Linked DNA regions of Styela clava. The protein of the gene in region 1 interacts with the protein of each later gene in a biochemical or structural test. Links are inferred from orthologs where the notes say so. Each region holds a gene or a part of one and is shown in the gene's direction. Other genes may lie near its edges. The genes, in order: kelch-like protein 12, protein transport protein Sec31A-like and programmed cell death protein 6-like.

Region 1 (8,448 bases):
TTAATAAATCTCCTCTCTTTCTTCAGATGTGAAAGTTGTGGACAAACCTGTCTAAGCATTGTGAGACTCTTGCAGCACAAGAGGCAATAGCAGAAATAGTAAGTATATCAATCAAGAAATTAAGCCGACATAAAGCAAAACTTTCAACTATTCGTCTAATCTCAATTTCCTATTATTTATTCACAGGACAACTATAGCAGACGGGGAGATATCAGAAGTCTGGCGACATATCAGTGACAGTGTGATTCCAAGAAATATAATGCAATTGAAAATAGAAAATTGCAATAGAAAAACAACCTATGGAGGCATGCAAACCCATTTGACCCTCCGGTAGAGTTGTGTATGGCCCCCACATCCTGCAGGGCTTGAGGAAAATAACTAAAAATTCCAAAGCGTAAGAATGCATAAGCGGTCTTATTTGTAAAAAGGCACAAAACACGCCAGACATACTTAAAACAGCTTTGGAAATGAGGATTACGGGTACCTCACTGCACCTGTGTTATATTTGGTTCATCAACTTTTGGTAGTACTATAGAAGAAATTCCGGAAGGGGTATAATCATCATTCATGATAAAATACTATCATATATTTTTTGAACAACTTCAATCTAGACCAGGGATCTCAAACTCGCGGCCAGAGAACTTCCAGTGCGGCCCTCGAACGCTTAACAATAATTGTAATAGTATTTTTAAAGTTTTTTTTTTTATCTAAATGTAATAGATTTTTCAAACCTTCTAAAGTGAAATTGATTATTCACACAGAAAACAATTTACTGAAAGTAGTTTTGGAATATTAATTTTTTTGTCCACATTTTGACCCAATTAAGAATACACATCAAGCTAGCAAAAGAATACTTGAATAAAACACTTGAGTAATTAAATTAAACGCAAAGTACATGAAGAAGGTGGCATTTTCGAAGAAAATGGGAGTTGTAACATTTCTGCTCTTCACAAAATTCTGAAGCACATTGTTTAATTTGTCATATTTCCGTCAATACAATCAAAAAACACAATAAGCTCAGCAGTCAATATGACAAATTCGAAGACCAACTTCGAACAGAAAATTTCCATGTGTTTGTATATTAATATAATTATACAACGACTTAGTTACTAAAAATCAATATCAATAATAATTCGAGCAATCCTATGCCACGCAATGTAGTGCGAAATGTCTTGTCGAAAAAATCTGTCATTTGTTTTTTTACTGATCTATACATGAAATGATAAAAATAACTTTTTTGCATTACTGGAATTAATTAAACATTCGTAAAGATCCAGATAAACCCATGATCATGTGGCCTCGTTAGTTAGAGTTGGTACTATAAAATCATTTCAGACTGACCTTAGTATGCTGGTGACACAAAAAAAGATGCCAAACGCCAGGACAAATGTAATTATTAAAACATTGAGTTTATACTGTAGTATTTTGTTAATTTTAGGTTCATATATTTAGATTAAGTTATTTTTAGTGTATGTATTATTCTTTCCTTATTCAAAGCTTGTTCAAAAATGATTTTGATGGTTTTACATAGAATTTTACGATTTTTTATAATAAATACTGTAACTTGCAAATGTTGCAATAATAGTGGAATGCAAATATTAATATGTAATTGCATTTGAAATTGAAGAAAATAATAAAACTTAATCCAACTGTTTAGTTGCATCACAATATATGTCACAAACTAAAACTATCTTAAAAATATCTTTTAAGTATACATTATCAAAAACTGTTTGCGGCTCTTTTTACAATTTTCAAAATGCAATGCGGCTCTCGAAAACCCATGAGTTTGACACCACTGATCTATTCTAGACGATTCAAGCATTGCTTTGGGAAATTATATCACTTCAATTAAATTGAAATAATCTCGCTATATTAAATACAAAATCGTTGCTATCATAAAGGTAAACCAATTCAGCCACTTGAAATATATTGGCCTTCACAAAGCAATGGAGGCAAAATTGAGAGTTCATGAGCTATGAACATTTGTTCTTTTCTTTGTCTTGAACTTTCCATACTCCACAGCCCCTATTAATTTTTTTTAATTTTAATTACCATGTGATGGTCATACATATCTTTAACTTGTATTTTCTGTCATGATGTATTATCTCAATGTGCCAAACTATTAATTAGTGTGCATATTTTGCTTCCAGATGACATAAATGTATTGTCATGTTTATTACCTCAGCTTGGAGTATTGACAAGAAAAAGGTGCCAGTAAATTAGGTAAAAAAATTTTCAACTCATTGTTATAATCAGAATTCACAATCAATAGGAATTATAAACAGCCAACAATCAGTGAGAATTATATGCGAAATGGAAAACGGACGCGAAAGGCGACGAGAAATATGTGCATTGGAGCGTATCATGAAATACAATGTTTTGCCTGTAGTCTTATGGAGTGACGTCAGAGTTGCCTATCATGTTGTTTAACCCTTTCCGTGCGGTGGGCACGTATACGTACCCACGACAAAACTCGCTAGTTTGCGGCGGGTACGTTGATGTACTCCACTGTTTTATTTAGCAATCGGTCGCAAACTGTTGGTCTAGTTTTTCCGGGTTTTAGTTTATTGATAAGAAGCCTTCTTCGAGATTAACATAAGCGACGGTAAATCTCGCTTTCGTTTACCATGGGAGTTTTATTTGCGGCGGAACGAGGGAGTGTTTTTGATTTATGCAAATTTCGGTGTTTTTTGGGTGGTAATAGAAGACATATTATCCCTTCCATCTACCAAAGTATTTTGAGTTAGATAACGAAATTGCTACAGTAATATTATGCTATTGTTTGCCAACCAAGAAGCGGTAACAGTAAAGGATTTAGCGAATATTTCTATTTTTTATCACGGCTTGAAGTTTCAACACCCAAGAAAAAAAATGTCTTTTTTCTATCCTGTTTGTGACTCAGACCACCCCTTCTGAAAAAAAAAAAAATTTTTCAATCGCCAATTGCAAGCTCTTTAAATAAGCTTTCCAACGAGCCGTCAGTGGGCAGCAGAGGATCATTACTTTTTCGTTAGTCGATCGATTAGTTGTGGGGGTACAAATGCATAAAGTCGGCGTAGCAAATACGATTATTTAATAAAAAATAAAAATCGCATGGAAAGGGTTAATGTCATTGGTCTGAGCGACCAAAATCATAACAATAAAGGTCAAAGGTCGGGGAAAGGTCCAAAGGTCTTTTCGCATTTTCTACGGCTACGTTTTAAAAGTCCTACGAAGAAGGGAATCCACAGATAACTCTCTGTAGTCGAGTTGTCTTCCTCTCGAGCATCGACAGCATAACTTCGCAGAGCGCTTGCTCAACTGTTGAATCAGTCGAGCGAATGCGAGAGAGAGAGAGAGAAAATATTTTTTTTTTCGTCAAACTAGGAAACATGATGATACAACAACAAATAATAATAAAAAACACATTATGCAGTTTTCGGTATGTGACTGGTTGATAACGATACGACCATACCGGTATACGGTCGAGTTTAGACTACGGGTGACCACTAAACTAAAGTGATCATAGACTACGAAACTCACATTCATGAATATATATGTGTTACTGTTTCCTGCTACGTATGAAGGTTTTAATATATTCAAAAGTACGTACTCAAAACATTCAATATCAATAACTTTCAAAAATTAAAACGCACACAGTCCTATAAGTCAACAGTATAACTTTGCTATTGGTACCGTTACCAATCAATCAATCATTTATTCGTCGTCACAAAAACATCAAATGCACAAAAAAATGACACCGTACTCCAGTTTCGTCTGTAGACTGTATCTGTATTCATATAACTTGAGCAAAATCATTTATACACATAAAAATTATTTCTTGAGAATATTAATGTATTTTTCTCAACATTGGAGCCCTAAAAATATCGAAATTACATTGTTATAGGCTTAAAACGTCGCCGTAGAAAAGGCGGAAAGACGGACAACCCACCAGACCCATCTGTAGTCGAGTTGTCTCTGGTGAGTTGTCCGTGTAGTCGAGTTGTCCGCTTCCCTTGGTGGCCTACTGTTTTCATTGGAGTTTCTGTGTCTGTGTGTCTAGTGGCACATAAAAATTGCTAACACCTTAGGTACCGGAAGGACTGGAGGAGGCATTTTATCCTTTGTGAAATTTTCTTACAGTAAATATATAGATTTCAAGATTTTAGTGTTTTGACTATCTGACCATATTCAGAACATTTCAGTTTTTTGAATATTTGATTGTTAACTTGTAATTTCCGAATCACAGTGAAATGCAGACTTTTAATCTTAAGCCATTATTTCCTGACCAAAGTGTTCAAATTTCACTGTTTCAAAATGTCACAAACGCAAAGGAACTAAAAGAATTAACAACTGAAGGAATTTTACAAGGATGTTTAATTGATGGTTCTTTGATATTAGATTCATTTCATATATTGACAGCAGTCAATAAAGCGTTGTATTATCAGAAATTAGGACGTATGAAAACAAAGTCTCTATATTCGGAAATATTGTTTAATTTATCACCCACAAATAAAATTAATGAAAGTTTGAAGACATTTGGTATCAATGAAATGACAAAGAAGATAATTGCAGTAGTTTTGAAGGATGACTTGAATTCCAAAGTAATTCCAGAATCTGTAAATGGTGAAATTGTTGGTTTGGAAAACTTGGAAAAAATTATTGATGTAGAGAGAATAAAGAAAATTTATCGTCTCGAACAAAATGAAGAAGTAACTGTTGAAGCTGTTGTTACTAGAATGGCTACTAAAGATGTGAAATGATCGATGTTGTTTACCCACAGATTCCAGGATTCAGTTGGTCAATACTTGGTACCATACCAAAATGTAATACTCTGTTGAAATAGCATTCTTTGTGCTGCTTCTCATTGAAGAATGGTATCAATAGAAATATTGGTCAACGAATCTAATGACCATGCTGAGTTTAGATCAATTTCACAATTATTTTGTCTCCGCAAGATTTTTCGTGATAATTTGTTACTAGTACTTGAAATACATGTTGGCAGAACGCTCTACTCTGGATCAGATTCCTCAGCAATTCTTTCAGTTTTCTTTTCTATTTAAGATACTGTCGTTGCTAGTGTTAATTCCATATGGCGAACAATTAGTTTTCTAGTGCATGCATATAAATAGTCGAAATTTGTTGTAGTTGATTTCACAATATTTTATCGTCATTAAACATTGACAACAACATCTGCTTAATCCTTATTTAATTCAACATCATGTGCGTTAGAATTTAAAGACCTAATTGATTGCTTAAGGGATTGCATAATGTAATCTTCTCAAAATATCTTTGGTAACAAAATTTTCACAACTTTTTTATTTTATCCTGCCAGGCAATATTATTAATTTATTATTTCAATTCTAAAAATGTCCAGCAGTGACAATGAAGATGTTTTACCAGCGTCAGATACAACTGAAAGGGTGGTGTTGGTTAGTGGACATGCCAACAATATTCTTGATTCCATGAACGAATTACGATCTGAAAATGTTCTTTGTGATGTCACAATAAAGTGTCAAGATGTTGAACTGCCAGCTCATCGAGTTGTTCTAGCTGCATCATCTTCTTATTTTCGAGCTATGTTTACAACTGGGATGAGAGAAAAGGACCAATCCGTTGTTGAAATTAAAGGGATGTCAAGTAACACAGTTATCATTTTATTGAATTTTGTATACACTGAATCAGTAAAAGTCACAACAAATAATGTTCAAGACCTTCTTCCTGCAGCTTGTCTTTTACAGTTAAAAGGTGTGGAACAAGCATGTTGCGCATTTTTGAAATCACAACTGGATCCTGTTAATTGTTTGAGTATAAAATCTTTCGCGAGTACACATCAATGTTTAGATCTTGCCAAGTGTGCCGAGGAGTTCACTTTAAAGCATTTTAAGGAAGTTATAGAAAATGAAGAATTTTTAGAATTGAATGAATCAGACGTTATTGAATTGCTTGAATCATCAGAACTTGAAATCGACTCAGAAGAAGATGTATATGAAGCGTTAATGTACTGGATAACACATAATAGAGAAGAAAGAGGCCCCAAGTTATCAAATATGCTCGAATATGTAAGATTACCATTATTGTCTGCGCAGTTCATAACAGATGTACTTGATGAACAGGAATTGATAAAATCAAACTTGCGATGTCGAGATTTACTTGATGCTGCGAAAAAGTTTCATTTGCGTCCGGAACTCCGGGCTGAGATGCAAGGTATAGCAAATCAGCCAAGATATGGCACTTCTGAAGTTTTAATCGTTCTTGGAGGTTTTGGAAGTCAACAAGCACCGATTCCGACTGTTGAAAAATACAATCCAAAAACTGGGGAATGGGGTACAATTGCTTCATTCACAAAGCGTAGGCGATATGTTTCTGCAGTAACTATTGACAATAGGATTTACGTAATTGGAGGATATGATTCACATTTACGACTTAATACTGTCGAATGTCTTGAATACTCTTCTGATGATGATGGAATATGGTATTCAGTTGCCCCTATGCACATGAAACGTGGACTGGCTGGTGCTACAGTTTTAGGAAACTTGATTTATGTAGCTGGTGGTTTTGATGGCTCTTCCCGGCATTCTTGCGCAGAAAGATATGATCCACGTATAGATGAATGGACAATGCTGCCAGATATGGCTTGTGCAAGGGAAGGTGCAGGATTGGTAACTGCAAGAGATTGCATCTATTGTGTAGGCGGATATGATGGTGTTGATATACTCAGTTCTGTTGAGTTGTATGATCCGAAAGTTGGTAAATGGATAATGGTTTCACGGATGAATACAAAACGTTCTGGTGCAGGTGTTGCATACCTAAATCATGTTATATATGTACTGGGTGGTTTTAATGGAAACTTTCATTTGGACACTGTGGAGGCTTATAATGTTCATACAGACTGTTGGACAGAAGTACAGCAAATGACAGTGCCTCGATGTTATGTTAATGCATGTGTGCTCAGAGGTAAGCTCCATGCAGTAGCTGGCTATGATGGACATTACCTTTTGAATTCAATTGAACAATATGATCCAGAAAAGGATGACTGGAAAGTTGTTACACACATGAGTACACATAGATGTGATGCAGGCATTACTGTTATAAAAGAAAAGACTTGAGCTATCATCTTCTGTTACCTTAACAATTTTTCATGAAATTCGTTCAAAAAAATTACTCAACTTGTACCAGATTTATGAAAAACTTAATTCTGCAATAGAGTTTATTTTCGTTTTTATATTTTAACTTATAGGTGATTCATTTGGTTAAGTCTGAAACAATGCTACATACATTTTTGAAAACGGAGTTCATTTTCTTATTCAGAAAACCATATTTTTTTCTCCTTCATCAAATCATAGACAGGTTTAGACAACGACAGCATCATACTTATGCCAAGTTGACTTTATCATTTCATTTGTGCAATAGAATCGACAGTGATGTGTACAAGCCTCAAAGTCTAGGACAGTGGTTCCCAACCTTTCGTGAGCCCCTCTAAAATTAAACGTGTTGGATTGTATTATGTTTTTCCGATCTTTTATTGAATGCAGAAGCAAACCTAGTATAATCAATGAGAATCTTGCGCTTGGGACCGTCTTTGATACAGCCAGACGAATGTCACTGTCAACATCAGGACGGTTTCTAGATTTTGATTGGATGGTAACAAGATCAAAAGCAGATTCGCACAGTCAAGTCGCGGCAGACGGAATTAGCAGTGAAGAACCTTTATTGCTAAGTAGTGGGTAGGAATCTGATATGTTACTTCATAGCTGCATTCAATAGCGGGCTTTTACCCCTACAGAAGCCCGAACTTGTCCAATGTTGCCTCATTGTCAAATCTAACTCGCCCGGTACTGGTAGCCAAGAAACCGATGTCAGCTTCACCGAATGGATCTTTCCCCGACCTTTGACCCCGGAAAATTCTTCCTGTACTTTACCATTTCAAAATTTTCGGTGCTTATTCTAAAAGTGGTTTCGCGAGTTGTTGCCTGTAAAATGGGTTTTTTGTATCAAACTATTATTCTAATTCATACCATTCAACAATTTGTTTTATAAAAGTACCGGTAATGAATTTTAGCCTAGTCATATATATTCCCTTAACCAATTTTCCTACCTCTGTATCATACCGCCCTAATTAATTTTAATTATGATTACCGGTACTGTTATTGATTAATAGTATTTAAAATAATTTGGACGTTATTTGGCTTGTTGTGGCTTCTATTTGATGAGTGAAGCAGGTCTAGCCCACCTTTTCATACATCCAACTTGGCAATTCTGATTGGGCAATTTGGCATTAGGTGACTCCAATTATAATCAGCTTGACGATATCTTTTGAGGAATACTTTTCTATCCACAATACATTAACTCTTGTTGACTAATTCGGTATCCAATTTGGCAATCCTGATAAAATTATTAATTTGGTGTGGCAAAAGAATTTATTCATTTTTTTTTATTTGTTTGTATATTTTCCTTCCTTTTTACTTT
Region 2 (8,226 bases), on another chromosome or scaffold:
TACTGGAAGCTCTTATTAGTTTGAAACTTGCTATAATATTTGTTCCCTCATATGAAATTGTGGCGCTAGACATAACTGTATGGTTAACAATCCCAAGGCGTGAGAGCTATATATATGTTAGAATAGTCGACCACTTGTCCGATAATGGCATTTGTTGTCAGAGGCCTGTATATATATAAAATTTTGCATTCTGTTCACGTCTGTACAACCAGGAAATAAAGTTTCATCAAAATACCTGTCAGGCAATACAGCACAGCTGCGATGATGGGTTTCAAAATTAATCTGCATCCAGCTGGAGGAGGATCATACATCATTCCCATTGTCTGAAATATAAATAATCTGACAGTGTACGAATGTATCGCTTTGAATTATCCTTTCTGTCCACGAGTACCCATACTTTTAAATGTAAAGTAAATTTTTATATTATCACAATAATTTTCTTTCGAATCAATCGAGACGATTACACCTGGGTTATTAGCATATTTGTAAAAAATTAATATGCCATTTGTATATGTATTTGGTTTTGATAGACAAGAAAAAAACGATCTGAGCTTTCAAAACTATTGACCAAAAATCAGTATGACGATTCAGAATGCTTATCTTGTTGCAAACATTTAATCAGAACATGTACTCAACATATACAAAGCGTTTTTCAATATTTATTACTAGTTTACCATTAACACTGCAGGTATGAACGTTATGAGGTGGAGCGTGGCCATCAATTGCATGGTTTTAGTCGAACTCCAGAAGCATACATTGGGATCCTCCCCGCAGTCTCCTTCCAAACATTCCTTCTCGATCTGAAATATAACTATATTGTTACACCATATTCAATCAATCGAGCTTCAAATAATAGCCTACTTACTTACCTTTGCAAATGACATGCAATTACCAGTTCTGTTTGCTGGACGAATAATTTCACAAATTTCGGTGTTCTTAATTCCAAAGAAGGACACTGCAGAATTGGTCGCTTCATCTGTAGCCTTCAATAACTCCTGGATATCAGTTCGATCGATGAACTCACTAGATTTTACCTGATTTATAAGAAATATTTTGGTGATTCTACTAACTGAAGTGTATGCTGAGGTTGGCCATGTCCTATATGGGTAACTAATTGTTTATGACTCGGATTGTAATGTAGAACTGGAATAATTTCTGCTGATGCAAACCAAAGAAGATCCTTGATGTTGTCAGCCACTACATAAAAATCATCTAGTCTACATGACTACTTAGAATGCCCAGTCACAGTGCGTGAGTATGATGTCATATTCAGGCCTATTGTAAAAAAAATCATTTCTGAAACCAATAAGAAAACCAATTTTTAGTATATAGTAAGATGTTCTAACCGACTCGAAGCTCTTCATCTCGTCTGTAATATAGCTTTCTCGAAACAAGGGGTAATGAGGGTTGCATATCAATGGTTTCTCTATTCGATCCGGATCGGAGATATCCAGGGTGATGGGTCCCTGAAGTAACATTTCGTGAGGAACTACAACTTGAAGTTGAAACGTCGACAATGTTGCCAACACCAGTACAAGGACGTAGATATGGATCAACTGAAAGAATACAATAATAAATCAGTTGAATAATGAATACCTACCGGGTCACCTCTATATCCTTTTATTTCTTCTTGTATTACCGTGTTTCCCCGAAAATAAGACCTACCCTGAAAATAAGACCGAGCTAGAATTTTAAAAAAGATTTTAAAATAAGACCTCTCTCCTACACATTTTAAATTATCCATAATCTATGTTTTGCAGTTATTTTGACTAAAAACGTGCCATGGATATCGCTTCTCATATTTTGTATGTTTGAAAATCTCGTAATTCCCTACTTTATAATTTTTGATAAATGAAAATAACACATCCCCGGAAAATAAACCCTAGTGTTGTTTTTCGAACATAAAAATTGAAATAAGACCCAGTCTTATTTTGGGGAAACACGGTACATATGTAATAATTTGAGGACATAACTAATACAAACGTTACAGAAATCTCAGATGGCTCCGTATAAGAGACCCATGAAACGTTATACTTTATTTTGGGAATATTTTAATATAAATTTGTTCCATTGTTCCAAAAGCACACAAGAACGCCAAATTGACTCACGAGAATAAAGCTTCCATATGCGTCGATTTTATGTTTCGTTGGAATAGGCTTCTTGCCGCCATCTTCTTCAGCCATTATTGCTTTTAGTTCAATAGGGCGATGAAGCCCCGTCACCTTGGTTTGGGAAACGGCAAGCAGCGACGAAGGCTCACGAGAAAAGACGTCATAAAGAACCCTTTGTGTCGACATAAACATAAACTCGTCAAATTGATGATGTCACAATGTTATACATAAAAAATCAAATGCGCATGTGGGCGCTACAGAGTCGTGTATTTACGTTCATGTTACTGACGTGTCCACGAGTTCGCTTGAAACAAGGCTGCCACGAAAAGTGCCAGTGTTTTGTTTTATTATATCGGTATTGCAGAGCGTAATACGGCAATGGGGGATGAGGTACTTACAGTTTTCTTTTTTAAAGTGATGGAATGGACATATGACAAACGGATAACGTATTTGGACATACAAACATACGAGAAATGAATAACGTATGTTACGGTGATTTGCTTTGTGATTGTTCGCATGCTTGTTTTTACAGGCTTACGGTATGTCAGTACTGCAGTATGTATTTTTTGTCATATTATATTATCTCAAAAAAAGTTCTTCACTCCTTCCAGCCCTCCCTTGGTTGTAGCCATCTCAAAAGTTGAGAAGATCCGTAAATGTTTATAGATATGCTGATATACCGGTACCGGGGCGGTGCAGATATAGGCCTAATGGATATAAGACAAAACTAATTTTATAATGGAAAAATGGCATGACTATAAATTCATATTACAGTATTATGTTTAAAAATTATCGACTTTGTACTGATATTAAACTGTGAAAGGTCCATCTAACACCGGTGTCTTCTTTCATCTTTGCTAATTAAACGCGATGTCATGGACACAATGATTTTGGTATTCTTTCACGCCCGCGTCAATTGCGGAAATATTGTATCCTTGTTTCAATTGATATTATTGTTATCATTTTTTTTATTACTTATGTTGGTACAATATTTCATGCACGACTGGAATAAAGTATCTGAATCTATCAGCATTTTGTGATCAATTAAGTTGATTAACTGAGTTCTTTATTACTTATCGATCTTCAGATCGGTAAGTATGTTGATAGGTATTTGTCTGTTAGATGCACTCGATATCTCACGAAGGCGAGGTTGAATCTGCTCCAAATTTGTGCATTCATCATATCTCGGACCAGAAGCCTATTGATTTTAGATGAATTATGTCGTATAATTAGCGAGTTATTAATTAATTAGTGATGGGATACGCGGTGTCACTATGGAGTCATGATATAATATTTATGTATCACAATTTTCAACATTTTAACTATTGGGGACTATATTAACTACGTATATTTGATATTTGCTTCATTGGAAGAATTCATACTCACAATCCAATATGGTAATTGTTGAAAGATGTATGTGCCAATTTTTAGACAACACTATAATTTATGTCAAATTTACATATAGTATAGTATTAAAATAGTAAAATGAATCACGAAAAAGTTAAATTTTAAATATCTATCCATTGATAAAGAGGTCTCTCTCTGTCTATCATCTGCCTTGTTGCAATTTTAACATTGGGAGCCAGTGGAATGTAAATAACATTTGTTGTCTGCTATTGAGATGAGAACATAATTATTTAGTCTATTATTTCTTACTGCAAAGTGGTCTCAATTGCGTATATATGATTATTAATTTTTCGAAGTTTTATCTTCACTTTGTGGCGAATTTTGACTCCCCATAGCAGATAAATGTGTTTAATTACATGAAGGGTTACTTTTGATACGATTTGAAAAAAAGGGCATCATCTGTGAGAGCTATTCAACTACGTTAATTAAGTTGTATAGACAGTAGGACACAGTTCCCTGATTCCAAGATGTTTCGACATTTTATTCAATGAAACACACTCTATTTGTCTCTGAAACAAGGATGTATGCATCAGATTGCACCATGATTGTCTCAGTAATCATTCAAGTCAATCGCTGTCAATCTGTCATGTAATCAAAATTGCGTTTTTTTGCTAATAACTTAAATGCTGCGGTGACTTTTTTTTCTTTAATAAATTGGATCATTTTTTTCAAAGAATCCAATAGTGACGTTTTTTAATTGCAATTTCTTTTAGTTTATTACGCAGTGCAGGCTTGTCAATTTGTACTGATATAGAGCTTTTATTGACCAACTCAGTGTAGTACTAAAATATATTTAATGTCCAATTTTTATAATGGTATACTTGTTAGTTGCAGGATTACAATATCCTATTAAAATCAACTGTGGCCTATCCACACAACACAGCATAAATACCCTGTCTGTATAGATTTTGCTTCGGGATAGAAAATATCGAAAATGGTGAAAGTGAAGCAAGTAAATGTAACAGCAAATTATGCATGGAGTCCAGCAGAATTGCACCCAATACAGCTCGCAACTGCCACTGCTGCTCAACAGCTTGATGCAACATTCAGTACGTCTGCGAATTTGTCTCTGTATTCAGTAGATTTGGCAGATTCTTCTAAGGAATTAAAGCTTGCTGGACAAGTTGACATCCCCACCAGGTTCGTTTATATTTTACATTTGTCTTCACATCATTTAACAGTTATAATTTAACTTACCGTTAGTTTTATTTCAATATTGCCTATGGGATTCTAACTTTATAACTAACGTTATTTTTTGCATTAGATGTGTTTCTTGTTAAGTATGCTTCTTATTGGGTAATCGTTGGTCCAGAATGTTGACAATTACGCTAATTTGTTGCAATCGGTTTTACCTGATGTACAATATTACAATTTTATTATTACTTATCGATCTTAAGATCGGTGAGTATGTTGATAGGTATTTGTCTGTTTGTTTGTTTGTCTGTTAGATGTTCGCGATATCTTACGAAAGCGAGGTGGAATCTGCTCCAAATTTTGCATGTGCATTCATCATAGCTCGGATCAGAAGCCTATTGATTTTCGATGAATTATGTCATATAATTAGCGAGTTATTAATTAATTAGGGATGGGACACACGGTGTCACTATGGAGTAAGAGCGCTGTTTTGGGGGAACCCCTAACTTTCGATCGATAAGTCTTCGGTCTCTGACTGATATTCTCATTACTGTTTTAAGATTCTATAAAGTGATATGGGGAAACACTGGGTATGAATCATCAACTGGCGAGAGCAAAGGTCTCATCGTTTGTGGTGCTGATAACGGACTTATCAATATTTATGATCCAACCAAATTGATAGATAATACTGATAGTGAGGCTGCATTGGTAAATACCAACAACAAGCATACAGGACCAGTCAAAGCTTTGGACTTCAATCCATTTCAGGTTCATTTTTTTCAATTGCTGCTCCTTATAATAAATAATCTACTTAACAGAACAGTACTATTTTAGGCGAAAAGTTTCTAATGTTGTTTTCTTGGTAATAAGGTAACTTCTGTGAGCCTTGCCAGTTATTTTGGTATTAAACAATATATTTCATCAGGGCTATGAAGTTGTGAGTAAAAAATTCGATTCCATTGGAGTCTGGGATTTCAGACTTTTGATGGGGGTAAAAGAAGAATTTTTCAAATAAACTCAAAAGGCATAAGTTCGCTAAACCTTTTTAATGATAATTCGACAAAAGGCCTTCCGGAAGGTCTTTTGGCCTTCCGGGCGGCCCTTTCAATCAAATAGTTTTAAAACCTGATATTGTGTAATTCGATTTTGAATTTTCTTTAGCTTATGCCTTATGGTCAGGGATGGCCAATACCGAATAGTTCACTATTTCGAATACATTCGAAATTAATTTTTTCGAATATGAAATTTCGAATACTTCGAAAATAAAATCCACTAATTGAAGCTTATCTAAATGTATGTAGGAATTTCCATACAATAAGCAATGGAATAACTACTATCTACAAGTTACAACCTAGCTATATATATTACCAGGCATTTCATATTTGCAGATTATTGCAGTATATATTTTATATATATATATATACCATGAATCATGTTAACAGAATTAAATTAATACGGCAATAGTGGTATCGATGATGGATTTGAATATTTGCGCAACACAAAATCATCCTAGTAAAACGCCCATACTTTTAAATACCAACCATTGTCCAAATTATTTGCCAAAAAGCGGGATAAAGTATGAGTTATTTTTCCACTCGTGACAATTTTTTCGTGAGTACAAAAATACGAATCAAAAATTAATTATATTCGGGAACTTTACCACACATTTTAAGTCCGCAGATCGCCGTTGTATGTTTGATTGTTTGAGTAATAATACTGTTATTATTTTATAAATATGAAAATAGGAATCAAAAACTATTTATAATCGGGTAGTTTACCACACATTGTAAGTCCACAGATCGCCGTTGTATTTTGTAGATACGAAAATAGGAATCAAAAATTAATATTAATCGCGAGTTTGCCACACAATTTATGTCTACAGATTGTCGATACAACCATGAGTTACGTTGAACAAAATTAAATTAATACGGCATGACATTTTAAATGCTGGTACTAGTCATGGATTGGATTATTTTGCGCAACAAAAAATCATCCTGGTAAAGGATCGATACTTTTAACTATCGTTATCAAAATTATTTGCCGGCTATAAATACCGTATTTCCCGGCTAATAAGTCCACATGGCAAATAGGACGATGTCTATTTTTAGCACTCAAAAAGGGGGTTTTCATATAGGCCTCCAATAATACGGGTAGAAAAATTGTGTCCCTGTCGTTCAGTTATGCTGAATGCTGATACGCTCTAATAATTTTATATGTTTAGAACCAGATCATGTTAGTTTGGTAGAATCATACTCACAGAATTAACTATTTTTAACAATTGAGCGGTAAATTTAAGTTGTAAAGCAGCAATCATTTTGGACAACCTATTAACCCGAATGTTGAAATAATTTTGGAATGTGATAAGTACTACACTGTACGTGCACGGGTTATTTCGCAGCTGTGTTTTCCTGTCCCTGTCGTGTTCTGCTGAATCGGCAAAACGAAAGGGTCACAAATCACTTTATCTCGGTGGCCGTGTTTCTTTTTAAAGTAACCATAACCGACCTGCGATTAAATATCATGATTGATATAATAATAAGCGGGCCACATAGAAATAAAATTAACATACTTCCTCAAATGTGCAAATGTGTCGCAACACTATGCGACGTACGGTCGCACAGAATATAAACAAACAAAGTGCCGATTGTATTTCATCGTCATTACAATACGTGAGACAGTGTAAAAAGTCGTTTGAAGATTCCCGTAAAACGAAACACCACGTTTACGGCGAAAAGTGGCTACTATTCGGAATTATTCGAAAATCAGCCGAAAAGGTATTCGAATACTTTGATATTCGAATACATTCGAATATTCGATTCGTTTTGGACAACCCTGTTATGGTATTAATAAATTGCCAGTTACTCATGAACACAATCATGGGTTAGAATTTCTATAAAACATTTTAGTTTTTTATCACTGACCTATTTATTTTTAATAAAAATTTTAATTTTTTGAAAAATTTGAAAAAAATCAATTTTTTAAAACCCTCATTTCTCAGATAAAAATACCTTTGTGATCTAATTTTTTTCATGTTTATGAATTTCTTGTATCATGTTGTTGCACTAAAAAACTAAATTTGCTAACAGAAAAAAGCGTAAATACAATTTTTTTTGTAAATTATAAATTTTTCATCAGAAATTTCAAACGATCAGTTTTATAAGAGGGATTATTGTTTAACTATATTCAGTTAGGTACATATTTTTCTCTGAAAACCCAGAACACAAATACCTAATACCAAAAAAAACAACAAAAAGTAATCCTAACACAAACAATGTGATGGATGGTAGACCCTTTCAAAATTTTTCTTGAAGAGGGCCTTTCGGAAGGCCCTAAGATTCGGTATCTGGAAATCTTGAAAAACTTCTATTTTCAGTAATTAGAGAATGTACCACTATCAAATAAATAAGTAATATTATTTTAAGCCATGTTATCTGAAGAGAAAGTTACATTTTTCGTTTTTGATGGGAGGGAGGGTGTTTCCCAAATGACAGCTGGGCATTGATTTTCAGTGAATGAAAGCTGATCACTCATTGAAAGTCAGCGCCTACTTTGACAATAAAACTTTTGAATTTGA
Region 3 (8,257 bases), on another chromosome or scaffold:
TCGTTCCGTTACCAGTCCATGGTAGATATGGGGCTAGTTGGCCAGGTATTCGTTTCAGATGCATGGACTTTATGGTGGAGGAAGCATGAGCTACGGTGGCGAAGAATCCAGCAATCTTTTCGCACATAATTATCTCTGCATGGGATGCGAACATGTACAGGGTAATCAGAGGTACGGTGCCAAGCATATTCCTAATGGCTAGCATGATGCACCACACTGCTGATCCTGAGGTAGCAGGCAGGACGCAGTGGTACTCAAATTTTCATGATTTCTTTGCAAAGACTCGCTGGTGGCTCTGCTTTTTCGTATAAAGACCTTGTTTTGTTTCTTAGAGAAATTTCCATTTAATTTCTCATGTTCCTTATTAAAAAGTCAAGAATTGAAAAACAAATGCGTTACAATTAAAGAATTAAATAAATCAGTCAGTCTACTTCAAATTAATGGAGTCTCAGCAAATGGTACCTAGTTGAAGGACTTTTCTTGTGATCACCAAAGAATCTCCTGTGGGCCGCTAGGGGGCTGGCAGCCTAGTTTAGGAAACCCGGTAGATGCCGAACAAAAAATTGGGACAAATTTTGAGTGGAAAAATGAGATGGATGGTTTCTTGTTTGACTGATCAGATTTATACATTCATGCTTTGTTTCAGAAATTTTCAAATAAATCAGACGTGTGGAGCTACGGTGTCATGCTGTGGGAGATCTGGTCGTTTGGGAGAGTTCCGTATCCCAGAGTGGTGAGTATTATGAACGTATACAAATCCTGCAGTGAAAGACTGATTCGTTGCAATAGAAATAAAAAGAAAGGTTTGAAATAATCCATGAATTTTTTCAGTTCATTCAATTTTCATCTCTTCGCTGGCAAGCACTCCACTCAATTCAAGCAGTTAATTTGAAAATAAATAGATTTCTTAGGATTATCACTTGGATTGAACACATTGATTTATTTCCTATTCAGGACATTGGGCCTTTTTAGGAGTACCATTTGCCCCACTCTATCCGAACCGTATTGCTTTATTTACTTATTCAATTTCTAATTTCAGCCTCTCAAGGATGTTTTGAGCAAAGTCATGGATGGATATCGCATGGACAAGCCGGACCGGTGCCCGGAGGAAATTTATTGTCTCATGAAGAAATGTTGGGACATCAACCCCGACACCAGAATTTCATTTGTGGAAGTCATAGCTGAATTAGACAAAATCAAGAAAGGCCCTTTAACCCAGTCATGACCGATGGTGACCTGAAAATTTGGCCCAATGTGACCTCATAAAGTCATGAGCCGCTCTAGATTTTATGAAATTCCATTTGAGATTATGAACTTTAGTTACCCATGTTTTTGCCTCGCATTATAAGATCATGTACCTGTTACAATGAACTATAGTAACCTAACACCCAGAAACTGTCTTCAAGTGAACCCTGATTTAGGGTCAAATCAGGTCACAGGTTTGGAACAGCGTAACCCATGGCTGTCAGGTCCGCTTATCTCCCAGGGAAAGAGCATATATGTTCTTAATAATGGTTACCTACCCATTTCCTACTCCTTAATTGCTTATTCTCATTAATTTTAATCACCAGTGAGTAGCTAGCCAAACTTTTCTTCTGCCCAGGGTGAGTTTCTCATAGTGACTGATGTCCCTTATGCATAACTTCAAATACAATTCTGGGGATGAGAAAATTATAGATATTGTTATACACAAGAATGAAAAGCATGTGTAATACCTCGAACTCTACGTTCGGATCTGCTGCTACATCTTGCTGTTCCTATGGCCCCTACCTGACTGGGCATTTGGGAATGCCATGAACTTTATTGAACCCATCATTGACCTATAGTAACCCCACATTATTGACCAAATCATATGAATCTATATTATTAACATTTCTTGTCATAATGTCTATTAATCATTTTTTTCTGTAATTTTATTATAATTATTATTTTTTGTGGGGGTGCACATCAATCCGAAAGCATTCACTTCAAGATGTGAAAACTATAGGAATGAGCATTTTTCATTACCAGTTTTTTCAAACTGAAAGTTGTTAGCCTTCTTAGATGTGGTTAGCACTATGGCTTTTTAATACTAGTTTTTCCGAAGCAAGGAGCTCAGCCTCCAACTAAAAGTGGAAAGAATATTTACAAAAATTTTAAATGCGGCCGCTGAACGGCTGAATGCTATATAGTTCTCTTATTTTCATTTGAACATAATTCTTTGTTCTTGAGGTGCAATTGTTAGAAAAATTTTGATGTTTTAAACATGGCTGAAGCCTACGTTTAAGATTTATCTAGTAATAATGTAATTGTTCCATATAATGAAATAACTTTGTGTGATTATGCCATTTTATCATGTTTTATTAACAATTGATTTTGTTTTGTGTGTTTGTTGTGGGCAGCTTTGATTTTGCTAGGAGAATCGAATTTTCCCAAAATCCTAATTAGGACTGATTACTTGAAATATATATTGATCCTAATTAGGACTGATTACTCAAAATTTTTATTACGGCTTCCTCCACCATCAAGCCCATGTATCTGTAACAAATAACTGAATAACTAATCCCATACTCGACATGGACTATTTACTGTATAAGAATTTCCTCTCCCTCTGGTTAATATGTAAATGCTATCCTGTATTAATATGTATCAATATTTTATTTGTTAGAGTAGCGTGTACCCTAACTAACTACCTTTATCATTGCAAGAATAGATATGGTTGAGTGTTTTAGAAAGTCTCAACTCCAGTTGTTCTCATTGACCTCCTTACAAAGAGTCTAAACACTCCATGGCCCCCGTTTTCTTTCAAATTACCTAGTTTTGCTTCGATAGCTTTCCCATTGAACTGTGTTTACTAATAATATGTTTTTGTTGAAAGACTTGTCAAAGCATTGCTTGAAAATTAATCTTTCATAGTGGCAACCTGTAGATTTGTTTCTCAGAACCAAATTTTTTCATGAAAGAGATTTTCTTATAAAATCTTTCACTTCCCAAATCGTCTGTTGGAGTAAACGGAATAGTCGCGATAATTCTCACACATCAGTGACTGACTTACCTGAGACTAGTTCACAGTGGAAAACGCCTCATGAAAAGACTCTGTACTACTTATGTTTGAATAATTCTGGCAACTCACAGTTCTTTCATGAAGAACCACTTCTAGGGAGTCAAAGGCCCTTTATGGGGAACTTACCCTAGAATATTCTGTTCTGTTTTAACTCTTGTGTATCCTGTCTCATGCCGCAATCAATTATCTGATCACACTGCAAGCAATAACACTTCTATGGCGTTGTTGTTTTTGTCATTTATATATTTAGCCAAACATGCGTTTTAAAGCATTATAGCAGGGCTCCTCAACCTGACCAGGGTAAAAACGAGAATCAATATCTGTTACACGAATAAGCTATCGCTTTCATTTTAAAGCAAAATGACTTGTATAGATTTCAATATTGTTGCGATTGTAATGCCTCGTGAGTCTCAACACAGAGATGACCGTCTGTTTTTTTTGTAAAACTTTGCTTTTGTTTTGTTTCGCCTCTAACTTACTAAACTAATCAATCCCTAACAATTCAACAATGATATTAATTCTGCCATGGCCCTCCTCGCCAAACACAAACTTCGGGAGGGTTGAGATTACCGTTGGATTTGCAGAAGGGGTGGATAAAGGTTGAGAACCCCAGAGTTGTTGTCCTTTGACCACATTCCTTTTCATATGCAATGCTGTGGCAATCTGGAATTCCAGCCCGAAACAATTTCTAAGAAAAAATATTTTTGATTGCTAAACTTTTTATTGGAATAATCTGGCGAATATTGCTCCAAACATTGATGTTTAAAAGCATATATTTCTTCGATATTTTTAAATTCAAACTTTCGCACTTTTGTCCCAATACCCTCTATATCAGTTTGATTCGGGTTGAATTTGACACACGTTTAGATGCAATTTTCGATTGGATAATTCACAATCAGACAACAACCTGCAAGTGATGTGACCGAGGACTATTATGCCTCCCATATTAAGTATATATTTGCTGGGCCAAGCTTCCTATTTATATGCCCAAATATTTTATGTGTGATGTTGCTGGCACAATATCTTAATTATTATTCAGCGACCGTAAATAAATGTTCATCATATATGATCTGCCGGACTGAAAGTGAGTACGTGAGGTGGGAGGAGTCTGGGAAATAACATAAGAGGTGGAAATAATCAGGAAAGTGTGAACATGGGGAGAAAGGAGTCTGTAGGTGAATACACTAGGTGGTAGGAATCTGGGAAAATAATATGGGAAGAGTCTGGAAAATCAATAAGGGAGGCGGGAATTCAAGAATTCTTAATTTCTCTTACTCGGGATATATATGTAAATCCTATCTCAATAAATGACGAAGGTGAAGATTCAGTCCATGGGTGTGCAAAAAGTTTTGCCGGAAGGCTATATTATAACCAATTTCAGGCATCTCGCTGGGCATAACGAAATACCGTAAGTTAGTAATTAAGGCAGTGACAAGAGCAAAGAACATTATGTACTTTAACCATGTGAGCGCCTTTTTTAACACAAATTGTCAGATTATGATTTTATGCTTGATGCAAAAATTCTGAGTCACAAGGGCCACATAAAATTGTTTCAAATCGCGAAAATATTTGTCACGGAACCACAAAATCTACTCACGTGACTTTTCGGGTTGGGTGCCTCTTCTCGGTAAAGTAGTTGCCAGATTGATATTGGGGGGTTTAGCGCTATGAAATTATTTAAAGCTAAGTCTGTAAGTTTACAGTTATTCAGTTATTTATGCATTTTGCTGAATACAGACTACCGGTATGAGTTATCAGTCTGTAATTACAGAATTAAGTGGATCAGCCTTATTCATTATCTGCCAAATTAACAAATAGCTCGCTTTTTTACCTCTGTGTTTTTCAGCTCAATCTAGTCTTAAAAGCTACAGAACTGAGAGAAACAATGGCTTACCAGTATAACCAGCCTGGAGGTTATCAGCAGCAGCAAGGGTACCAGCAGCAGAACTATCACCCCCAGCAAGGTTACCAAGCACCTGGTGGTTATGGCCAACCTCCCCCTCACCAACAAATCCCTGGAGTTGATTTATGGGGAATTTTCACTCGTGTAGATCGAGATAGGAGCGGTCAGATCTCGACAAGAGAGCTTCAAGAAGCTTTGTCTAACGGAACTTGGCAGCCATTCAACCCCGAGACAGTTCGGTTGATGATTGGAATGTTCGACACTGACCACAGCGGTTCAATTAATTTTCAAGAGTTTGCAGGATTGTGGAAATACGTCACAGATTGGCAGAATACGTTTAAAAGTTACGATCGAGATAATTCTGGATCGATTGATAAAAGGGAATTACAAACTGCATTGACTTCGTTTGGATACAGGTAAGTCGAGATTGAGTGTTTCATTGCAAATTACTGGTTTGGCCGGGAACAGAGGGTAGGGTGGTGGGGTCTGGTATAGTTTAGTACCACATCCACTTTTAGTTGGCCTGGCTCAACAATTTTTGCATATGTCAATCCTAACCCCCACCTGACTACGTCACCGAAAAATTATGTCATTCCGACGTCACAGTGGCATAATAAGGCTCACCGAAGTATGCGGATGGTCGTACAAAACGCGCAGACGATAACCCGAAATCGAGCAAGCTATTTTTCTTGTTGCAACGATCACGATAGGAGAGAGATTGTCGGCTTTAGCAAGTTCTTATCGGCGGCGCAGATGCCATTTCGGGCGATCGTAATTATACTTTGGCAATCCCTATGACGTGATGGTGACGTCGTAGTGACGTAATTTTTGTTTGGCATAGTCAGGTGAGGGTTAGGAATAACATATGCTAAAAACGTTTTGCTACGCCCACTGGAAGTACTTGTGGTACTAAACTATACTAGACCCGGGTGGTGCAGCCAGTCTGCGAACCCCTATAAAAAATAAACTAATATTTCTAATCAGTTAACTCGTCTAAATATAAACAAAGCACCGCATCGTTTAACTTATGATTTTGACTTCCAGTCTCCATGACAGCTGTTTGAAAATAATAATAAAGAAATACATCTGGTTTTGTATGGCATTTGTTATTGCTTGGTATGGCAAATATCTGTGGTGATTATGTAGGTTAAATACAAGATTATTATTTTCAAACAAATCCTAAGGCGACAGAATCATAACTCGAATTGTCTCACGGTAGGATGACGAACCTGTGAACCACTGATAAGAGCAGATGGTTATTAGATGTAACGCAGTAAATATTTGGGCCCAGGACTAGAGAGTCGGAATCAGACTTTGATTGAATTGAAGTCAAGCCGGGGTTGTTTTTTTATAAATTCCCTTGAGACAAATGAGACAAAAGTTTTGGCATCCAAATTTTAGGCTTCTAATTCTGATTTTCATTCCAGATTGTCGGATAGATTCTACGACCTGTTGGTCAGAAAGTTTGATCGTCAGGGCCGAGGAACGATTGCATTCGATGATTTCATCCAGTGCTGCGTCGTTCTGCAAACTTTAACAAAGTCCTTCAGTGCTAAAGATACCAGCAGAAACGGGATGATTCAAGTATCGTACGAAGAATTTCTCTCCATGGTGTTCAGTGTTAGGTCATAACTCAAAACCTTTAATTGATATGTATCCACCTATTATTGTATTAGTTTACCGAATGTCCAATTTCTGGGAATCCTAGTTCTTCTTAATTCGAGAAAATATTATTTTCATTTCTGTGATGAATAATTATATTGAGGACATTGATTCAATACTGCAGGTTTATTCAACAAGACAATCAGACAGGTGTTTCACGCCGTATTATTCGCCTTTTCCATGTGGTGAAACCTGGCGACCCTTATTTTGAATACCTTGTTTGTTGGGGTTAGAAATAAATTGAACAGAATTCAAACTTTCATAAAATTTCACTCCGATTTGTCATGGTTCTCAAACTTTCATGCCCTTCTGAAGTCTTCAACACTTTTCCAACTCTCACAAAAATAACAAGTTTGGTTTTTAATAACATGTTTTCATTGACCATGTTACCCATGTATAATAATAAAAAAAACAAGAACTGCATCACAGGCAATTTACTTCAAATGAATGTATTGCTAATGATATCTGATTAGCGGTTCTACTCTCTGGGCCCCTAGGGTCGATGGCCTAGTTTGAGAAACCATGCCATGGACTTTATTTATCTGAAAAAGAACATTTATGAAAGTTGGTTTTTAACATTTCCATTCAATTCATTATGCAGTGGAATTGTTAGATTTTTAGAGAAACATTTTGATGTGAATGTTTATTCATCCAAGTCTAAATTATTGCAAATTTATTCGGTACAATGTTATGTATTTATATTCACTTCATAGTGAGTTCATGTAGCCTTGCTTTGAACAAACATCAAAGACCATGTGTCAGAAATGAATAACTGGTTGTAATAATAATGTTCACGTACACAACATGGACTTGGAATGGGACGAGAGGCCCCAGTTATCAATATGTCTTATAGGCTTTTCTCTCCCCTCGATTTGAAATCTTATACTTCTTATTCTAAATATTCATGGAAGAGATTATTGCGCTCTTCTAAAATAGTGCTCTGATTTTTTTATTGAATGATACATACATTTGCTTTGATGTGATGAAATAACCAGTTTTTGTGACATAACTCGTTAATAATTGGTATTTAAATTAAATTTAGAGCTCTGTATTGCGTGGAGCATTAAATACCTGGCACTGACCAAGAGAATTATGATCAAAGAATTTTCCTATCCGACTTTGATAAAATGTTATGTTGAGTCACAATACATATTTGTATCCTGCTTTATGATGTAATATTAGATATTTGAATCTTGGGAAGGAAATTGTAATCTGGGAATTGAATTAATATTTGCATTCTTACATATCTTGTTGTGTATTGTTGATCACTTGTTTTCTATTCATTCAATTATTGTGATGAGCCCAGCTAGCGCAGTTTTCATGAGTAGAAACGCAGTGCTGATGCTTTATTCTTGTTACCAATGTTCCTGATCCAGATTTTTCATATTGCATTTGAGATACTTGTGCAAATTGTGCCTGCAGTAAATGCTCATTGCTAATAAATGTTTCCTCATTTCCTAACCCAAGAAAAATCTCCCTACACTCAATCGTGGCAGAATTGTCTGTTCTTGTTTTCGTGAATTGGACATCTGACTTTCGTTTTATAAATATCCATTTTATATTAGAATATTTGAGCTTTCATAATGAATTGAGCAGAGAATTCTATGCTCAGAGAAACATACATCTCTTACAGGGAACACGTTATTTTT

What was found.
Region 2: of the proteins of kelch-like protein 12 (region 1) and protein transport protein Sec31A-like, one has a biochemical effect on the other in vitro, tested with the Homo sapiens proteins (3 studies listed by BioGRID, with this or other methods). The link is inferred for Styela clava from reciprocal best matches to the Homo sapiens genes KLHL12 and SEC31A.
Region 3: the proteins of kelch-like protein 12 (region 1) and programmed cell death protein 6-like form a complex in vitro, tested with the Homo sapiens proteins (2 studies listed by BioGRID). The link is inferred for Styela clava from reciprocal best matches to the Homo sapiens genes KLHL12 and PDCD6.

Annotation. Positions count from the first base shown.
Region 1 is NC_135254.1:16,143,836-16,152,283, forward strand, and holds kelch-like protein 12, read left to right. Parts: upstream 1-5,339; 5' UTR 5,340-5,348; coding exon 5,349-7,088; 3' UTR 7,089-7,474; downstream 7,475-8,448. Other genes in the region: EKC/KEOPS complex subunit TPRKB-like, read left to right, coding at 4,233-4,742. UniProt on the Homo sapiens protein: Substrate-specific adapter of a BCR (BTB-CUL3-RBX1) E3 ubiquitin ligase complex that acts as a negative regulator of Wnt signaling pathway and ER-Golgi transport.
Region 2 is NC_135260.1:9,045,130-9,053,355, reverse strand, and holds the start of protein transport protein Sec31A-like, read left to right. Parts: upstream 1-4,315; 5' UTR 4,316-4,452; coding exon 4,453-4,658; intron 4,659-5,212; coding exon 5,213-5,420; intron 5,421-8,226. Other genes in the region: uncharacterized protein LOC120347212, read right to left, coding at 236-323, 675-800, 870-1,034, 1,347-1,556, 2,109-2,183. UniProt on the Homo sapiens protein: Component of the coat protein complex II (COPII) which promotes the formation of transport vesicles from the endoplasmic reticulum (ER).
Region 3 is NC_135264.1:18,523,323-18,531,579, forward strand, and holds programmed cell death protein 6-like, read left to right. Parts: upstream 1-4,809; 5' UTR 4,810-4,928; coding exon 4,929-5,362; intron 5,363-6,373; coding exon 6,374-6,578; 3' UTR 6,579-6,995; downstream 6,996-8,257. Other genes in the region: tyrosine-protein kinase CSK-like, read left to right, coding at 647-733, 1,040-1,225. UniProt on the Homo sapiens protein: Calcium sensor that plays a key role in processes such as endoplasmic reticulum (ER)-Golgi vesicular transport, endosomal biogenesis or membrane repair.